Danio rerio: one gene and its partner. The protein of the gene in region 1 interacts with the protein of each later gene in a biochemical or structural test. Links are inferred from orthologs where the notes say so. Each region holds a gene or a part of one and is shown on either strand. Other genes may lie near its edges. The genes, in order: atrip and topbp1.

What was found.
Region 2: the proteins of atrip (region 1) and topbp1 form a complex in vitro, tested with the Homo sapiens proteins (2 studies listed by BioGRID). The link is inferred for Danio rerio from reciprocal best matches to the Homo sapiens genes ATRIP and TOPBP1.

The regions. Positions count from the first base shown.
Region 1 is NC_133197.1:10,190,815-10,195,208, reverse strand, and holds the start of atrip (ATR-interacting protein), read right to left. Parts: upstream 2,987-4,394; 5' UTR 2,790-2,986; intron 1,144-2,789; exon of another isoform or gene 1,141-1,143; 5' UTR 1,129-1,140; coding exon 828-1,128; intron 423-827; coding exon of another isoform or gene 357-422; intron 1-356. UniProt on the Homo sapiens protein: Required for checkpoint signaling after DNA damage. Required for ATR expression, possibly by stabilizing the protein.
Region 2 is NC_133199.1:10,053,588-10,057,420, forward strand, and holds part of topbp1 (DNA topoisomerase 2-binding protein 1), read left to right. Parts: coding exon 1-117; intron 118-2,565; coding exon 2,566-2,747; intron 2,748-3,833. UniProt on the Homo sapiens protein: Scaffold protein that acts as a key protein-protein adapter in DNA replication and DNA repair. Composed of multiple BRCT domains, which specifically recognize and bind phosphorylated proteins, bringing proteins together into functional combinations.

The DNA of each region.
Region 1 (4,394 bases):
TGGGTCAAAATAGACTGAAAAGTAGCCTTTTTGATTTCTCCCCATTCCTGATGGCCTGTAGATGCTCATACTAGTAGATTCTGCTCTCTCATTGGCATAATTTTGAATTGCCGACAGCTCCATGACAAATATCTCATGGGTGTCAATGACTCATCTGCGATTCTCTCAGACTGTGTCTCTGATAGTTCACACTGTGATTGTTACTCACGTGAACGAACATCGATTTGCCTGTGATTTCAGGCATTTGTCTGCGATTTCTCAAAACCTGCCAGCGAGTCAAAATCGAGGCTAAAATCTTGCAGTCTGAACTCGGCATGAGTTGTTTAAGTGTAAAACAAGATGAAAGACTGTGTAACCTCTAGCGCTGTCAGGGTCAGCAGGTGAGTGCAGAAACTCCATTGAAACTTCTGGGGTTGAATAAACTGTTATATTTTAAAGACATGGCGAGAGGAAATGTAATTTAATGCTGAGCTTCTTGTCCAGTCTGACCCAGACCTTAAACATGGCAATTTTATAACGGAAAGACAATTCACTGGAAGTGCTGAGGCTGGCTGGCTGGCTGAAATGTAAATTCTGTGTGTGTATATATATATATATATATATATATATATATATATATATATATATATATATATATATATATATATATATATATATATATATATATAATAGCCCACTAACAAGACACAAAACAACAAACAAATATGTTAAATTGCTTCTTTAAACTGTCTCTAATTTTGTTTTTTAAATTAACAACAACAACTGCAAAAACCCAATGGGACATATAAAAACTTGTGTACAGTGCAACAGAAACATCCAGTACTGACCAGAAGGCTCTTTCCTTTGAGCGTGTGTGTTGTTGTAAGTGCTGCTGCTGCAGGCATCTCCAAGGGCGAATGTTTTCCGCCCGGACCTCACTGGAGCTTTGCTCGGTTCATCAGCGCAAGCGAGCACAGCGTCGAAAGATCTCTTAGAGCCGCTGTTCTGGACGTCTGCGCTGATGGCCTGAGACGCAATAATATCAATCTGCTCCAGATCATCCTGGGTGAAATCAATGTCATCGTCAAACGGGTCGGGTCCAGTCTTCACCTGAGGGCCCTTCAGTCTCTTGCTCGGGGGAAAGTCCATGTCAACGAGCTCCTGCTGGGAAATCAATAAAACCTTGTTAATGTTCAGCAAATAATTAGTGTAGTAAAGAAAATGTTTATGCCCCTTTTCACAAGATGATAGGTCTCTGACACCCCTAGAGCAGGAATGCCTAAACTCTGGTCCAGTGTCCTGCAGAGTTTAGTTCTATCCCCAATTAGACACACTTAAACCAGCTAATCAAGCTCTTTATACGTATACTGGAAACTTCCAAGCAGGTGTGTTGAAGGAAGTGTGAGCTAAACTATGCAGGTCACCGGCCCTCCAGGACCGGGTTTGGGCACCCCTGACCTAGAGCGTGTTAAATTTCAGCTCAAAATACCCCACTAATAATTCTTTTAAACTGCCCTTTTTAGACTTCGATCCAAATTGTGATATTTTGTTGACTGTTGCTTTAAATTCAAGTGAGATAGCCTTCTTTTCAATTGTGGGCAGAGCTGCAAATGCCTATGGTCATCTACGGTTTTCATTTGTGCATCCTAAAACACCACGTCTATATTACATCTATTGGCAGGTGACTGCTTATGACTCAGGACTGTCTTTGCAAATGAGGGACAGATCGTCACTAATGGAATGTCATTAAATTTGGAAAAATTTGGATAAATATGTCTTAAAGTGATTAAAACTTTAGTAAATTCACCTGTTTTATAATAAATAGTACTGCATAAGCTGTACAATGTTTGTTTATACATGACCACCACTATAAATGTACAGTTGAAGTCAGAATTATTAAACCCCCTGAATTATTAGCCCCTCTGTTTATTTTTGTTTAATGGAAGATTTTTCTTTAACACATTTCTTAACATAATAGTTTTAATAACTGATTTCTAACAGCTGATTCATTTTATCTTTGCCATGATGACAGCACATAATATTTTACTAGATATTTTTCAAGACACTTCTATACAGCTTAAAGTGACATTTAAAGGCTTAACTAGGTTAATCAGGCAGGTTAGGGTAATTAGGCAAGTTATTGTATAATGATGGTTTGTTCTGTAAACTATCGAAAAAATATATACCTTAAGGGGGCTAATAATTTTGATCTTAAATGTTTTTAAAAAATTAAAAACTGCTTTTATTCTAGCCTCATAACATCCAGGGTAACATGTCTATATGTATTACAATATAAATAAATGTTTAAACACACATTTCTATATTTATTAAAAACCTATCCATCTAATTATTTCAATTAAATAGACAAGCTTTTTGATTTAAACTGTAAATGTAACAATTAAAACAGTTCCAGGACAACGAATTCATTAATAATCTGCAAAAAATTATAGCAGAAAATAAATAATTTAGAAAAAAACATTAGACACATTATCTAACACTAGTTTTCGCAGTATAAATGTATTTTGCAACTACAAATATGTAGTTTACATTTTGGGTTTGGATGTCCGTGACATATAAAAGACTGCAAAACCCTGACATACAGTACGGTTCGTGCCAGTTCATTAATATCAAGCAGTTAGCATGTGACAATTTTAATACGATAACACTCACTTACTGGTCAAAAATCCAGTTATTTTTCAGCCTATAAAGTGTACATTACTACCGGACTAACAAACTAACACACAATGCTCTTCCAGACTCCAATTTTAACATGGTAAAGGTGTAGTAAAGTGCTCAAGTTTATCAGTCACCTGCTTGATTTACGCTCCTCAGATTCCTGCATAACCTGCAACTGCCCGTCAAATCACCGACATGACAAACCAAAAGTAAACACTCCAGATAAAGTGCAATTCTGAAATGTTTACATAAAAGTAGTTGACCAAACAAACAAATAACCGAAAAGAGGAAAAGTTGGAGGCATTTCTGAAGGTTCGGTATTCATTCAAGCGAGGAGGAGTGTCCATGCGGCCAGACGAAAGCGTACGCGGTAGTAAAACATCACCTGATTGGCTAAACCACTGCCATAGTGTGTAGCGGTGAGCTCTGATTCGTCAAAGGAGTAGCGCACGTATTACGGAGACACTCTTGCGACAAAATGCGTTTTGAACCATTCATTTTGATTCAGAAAACTTGCACAAAGCCGTGATTTGGAAGTTGTCTAAACATGTTCAACAAGATGTGTTTATAAAAGTTTGGGCTTGTTAAACGTTTTCTTCACCATTTAGCTTATACATACTCGTACCTGTAGTAAACATATCGCAAGGCTTCAAGATTGTATTATTTTAGTTTAAATGGAAAAATATGAGTTCACAACAAAACACTGACGCAGAGTAGTATGAGTAAGATTAAAAATATATTTACAAGGTGCACACACAAAATAAATAGTGTTTAGTGATATTTTTGATACATTTTAAGCAAAATCATCACTAAAAATCAGCAGGTACATTTTTATGTGATTACACCATATACGACAAAACTTTTGCAGTTATTATGAGCTAAGTTAGCATGCAGGTTATAACCAATTGTAATAATTGCGCTAAATAGCTGCGAAAGGCTTTATTTTTAACAAAAGATGTAAAAATGATATAGTTAGACTTCATAACATTGTTAGGCTACAGAAATAAACTAATAAAAGGTGAAATCTGTTTGCTGCTTTAAAGATTTGTCTACAGCTATTGTGTCAGATTTAGCATCTTCGCTATGAACAACATACTTTTTTATCTCACACAATGTGTGCATGTAACTACGGAGTGTTTTTGTTGCTGCTGTTTTAAGTTGGAACTATTATTATTTCAACTATTACGATTTATTGACGAGAACAAATGATTGTGTACATTTTTATGTGATCACAACAAGCAGATCTTTTTTATACGACAAAACCTTTGCAGTTAACAAATATGAGCTAAGTTAGCATGTTACAAACTGTAATAAGTGTGCTAAATATAGCTGCCTTACCTTAATTTATATAGACATAAAAAATATTTATAGGCTACAGTGTGCTAAGGTAAACAATACTATCTGCAGCTTTGTTCAGTAGTGTGTCTACAGATATTTAGCATCTTTGCTAATGTATCTATGAAAACATACTTTTTTATCTCGCACAATTCGTGCATGTTGTACGAGCATGTTGCATGTCGAGTGTTTTTGTTGTTGTTTTATTTAGGTTTTTTAAAGTAATTATTACAACATGCCCACAGTTTAGTAGAGATCACTTGAAACAAATGAGTAAAACGTGCAGATATATTAGTAAATTGTGGGAATGAATGAGTCCACTTGTGGCCATAATATGCATATATTTTGTCTGCATTTCATGTTAGGGTCTCGTGTCGGTGAAAATTCCCTGAGACACAACAATA
Region 2 (3,833 bases), on another chromosome or scaffold:
GTAGTGCTCTTCTGTCTGCAGAAGCAGAGATGTGTGCCCAAAGCAGAGCAGCCCGTGTATAACATGTCCATGGCTGATGTCACTGTTTCCTGCACTAACCTTGACAAAGAGGCACGGGTAAGGAGAAAGCTATGATCTGCAGTATTGATATACAATTACGTTGTCCATCTTTGCTTACATTAGGGCTTTCACACTGCACTTAAACCTGGGCTATAGACACTTTACATTATATAACTTGGGTAAAGGAAGGCTTCGTGCTTTTAAATAGTGATATTGCCTGGTGTTATAAAATGTTACTGTGTTAAATATGAATTTCTCAACATATACGGTGTTAAACTGTGGGGTTAAACTCATACAGCTAAATGTCTTTTGGATGGTAATAGAAACATTATGCTTGTATATAAATATAAACTGAAAAATGTTAAATAATAACGCAAAGAATGAATCTAAATAAAAAGATGTTCTTTTTCATTCTTCTTTATAGTCTGTAAAGTCTGTTTAGTATCACATTTGACAGCCATTCAGCAGTATATAAAACCAGATGCAGCAATTCCCAAACCTAGAACCTTTATCTAAATAAATCAGTGTTTTCTCTAGGATTTTTGTCCAGCTGTGGCGGCAGACCTTTTACACAGATCTACCAACTGCCTATGGCGTTATTTCAATAACAAATGTCGTGGGCGCAGTATTACAAGTCGAGATCATATTTATGCAATAGGAGCATGCAAATCTCTTTACTTGCGCACCGATTTTCTCTGTTTGTGCAAAAAAACTTGCACGCTTCCTCAAATAAACGATGCTGAAGTGCGATTTAGTGCGTTTATGTAAGGAATACATCTCCAACATTTATTAGATTTGCAGGAATATTTATGAATGTCTCCAATAAACTTACAGAGCAGCATTAATGGGTCTTGAAGTAAAGTGAAACGGCTATAAACTCCAGCAAGATAAAGTCATTGTATGCAGAACCATAGACCTTTATCTATAAGGTATAATTACGGAAACTGTGTTCATCTTAACTGAAAGCTACGCCGTGTTTGCTGGCCTCACACATCGCGCAGCCCTGTCAGTCAGTCAGCATGTCATTTTAAAGGGTTAAACAAATAACCCACAGCAGAACTAAGATTAGAGAAAAATTTGTGCTGTTATAATTCACTTACCTTATAATACGTTTTGGTGGGATTATAACCCGCTATTAAAAAAAAACAACAACCACGACTGATTGTTTTGAACGTAGCTGTAATGTTAATGTAGCCGTGGTGGGATGAATTTTGGTGTTGCGCCCTGCCATAGAAGAATGAATGTAGCGGAAACCATGCAGGGGTGTGTTTCCCAAAACCATCGTTAGCCAACTAAGGTCGCAAGGTCCGTCGTTACAAACATAGTTTGCTGATTTGCCGTTTCTCAAATCTGTCGCTCCAACGAACATTCGCAAAAACAAATGAAAAATAGCATTAAAGTCATCTCTTTTAGGTGAAATTTGCTTTCAAACAATTTTTACAGTTCAGTTTTAGCGATCTTCATGTTGACAATTGTGCTCCCTTCGCAGTGGACTTTGAAAACATTGATGTCATTTTGAACTCAAAAAGCATACGTTAATTCTTTTAATTTATAGTAGGTTATTTATTAGGTATATGTACTGTAAATGACATGGGCCTGCTGGTTAGAACTTTCTGCAGTGGTTTACAAGTGTAAAATTGTAAAAGTAGACTTAAAAAAATAAATAAACAATATCCTACTTAATAATAATAATGATAATAATAATAATCATCATCAAAATTATTACTTTTATTTTTAAAGTATAATTTTATTTTATTTCTAATTCATAATAATTATTAAATTTAATTTCTTGATAAATCGCCTCATTATTTATTTATTTATATGATTTATTTATGATATTAGAATAGGTGTTAGCTTTTGTAAGTGATTTTATGGTTTAGAATATGATATATTCTCAATAATATTTGTAAGGCAAACATAGGCCCTATATGTGCCATATATTTCAATTAATATGAAAAGCGAGTGCATGTCTTTACAAATCTATTAATGGATTTTATTTTTAATGCATGTTTATTTAAACAGTGTAATTTGCACAAAGAAATGATGGGGCTCTTCTCTAAAGAAGTTGTTACTCAACACAGTTTAGAGAGTCATTATGGCCGGTTTACGTTATACCTCGGCAAACAATCGTCACTACATCGTTCTTTTCCCAAACGATGCATCGTACCTTGATAGTTCAGCTGCAAGTTACGTCGTTGTTTAGGAAATGCACCCCAGGTTGTTTGCCACTTTTTGCTAAAGTTTTACACTAATACCACAAATATGTAAATAATGACTAACACAGGGTTTAGGATTGCACTGTGTAAAATCTAAGAATCATTTAAGTACTTTTAAAGTACTTTTAACCTGGGATTTTACCTAGGATTCTGTTTAAACTAGGTTTAGAATAACTCAGGCTAACTTTAAATTGTCAGAAGCCCTGTAACATATACAGTAGAACTGGAATGCTGTTACATCTGCATGTGCAGTTATGACAAATAATCAGCTTTTATTTTGTTCTTGCAGAGTGAAGTGATGGATCTTATTCAGCTGATGGGTGGACGAGTCTACCGGGATCTCAACGTGTCTGTTACTCACCTGGTGGCAGGTGAAGTTGGGAGTAAAAAATATCTGGTGGCAGCAAGCCTTGGGAAGCCCATCCTGTTACCCAGCTGGGTGAAAGCATGCTGGGAAAAGTCTCAGGACAGGTAACTCTTTACATCATAGTCTTATTTTGTAGTGTTGCAAAATGCATTGTTTATAGCAAAACTTTTTCAGCATTTGGCTGACCAATCTGCTGGCATAATCATAAATAACAGAATAGCGAATAGGTGGTAAACTTGAAAGTACATGTTTGTATTTAGAATCTTATTGAGCAATATTTTATGCTGGGCCTGTAACCATTAGTTTTGGGAAAAAAAACTATTTATTTTCTTAACATTTCTTTTCTATTTCTACATTCTTAATAAAACATTAGTCCAGAAGTGTCACTCATGAATGAGCACATTTTTAAATGGTATTCTTAAAAATTTAAAACAAAAAAAAAGAAATTGTCTTTTCCTTGTGGTCAATATATAAGCTGTTAATTAATTTAATTATTGGAAAAGGTACTTTATCGTTATTAGAATACAAGATGATATGAGATTTTTCACTTCACCTAGACATACAATTAGAGCAAGTTGGACAGTTCTTATTTTTATTTAATATATCTCTCCTCTAGGGCTGCTCGATTATGGGAAAATCATAATCACGATTATTTTGGTCATAATTGTAATCACAATTTTACGGATCAATTCAACCGTTATCAGTTGAAGTCAAAATTATACGCCCTTCTGTGAATTTTTTTATATAGAAATATTTCCCAAATGATGTTTAACAGGAATTTTTCACAGTATTTCCTATAATATTTTTTCTTCTGGAAAAAGGCTTATTTGTTTTATTTCAGCTAGAATTAAAGCAGGTTTAAATATTTTGAAACCTATTCTAATAGCTCAACATTATTAGCCCCTTTAAGCTATATATATATATATATATATATATATATATATATATATATATATATATATATATATATATATATATATATATTACTGTCTGCAGAATAAACTACTGATATACAATGACTTGGCTAATTACTCTTTAAGCTGAATACTAGTATCTTGAAAATTAGGCTATCTAGAAAAATCAGTTATTAGAAATGAGTTTTTAAATCTGTTCTTTAAACTGTGCTTTAAACATCTTCACTGTAAGAAAAAAAACTTTAGCTACAAAAGTCTTAAGTCAAAAGCAGTGAG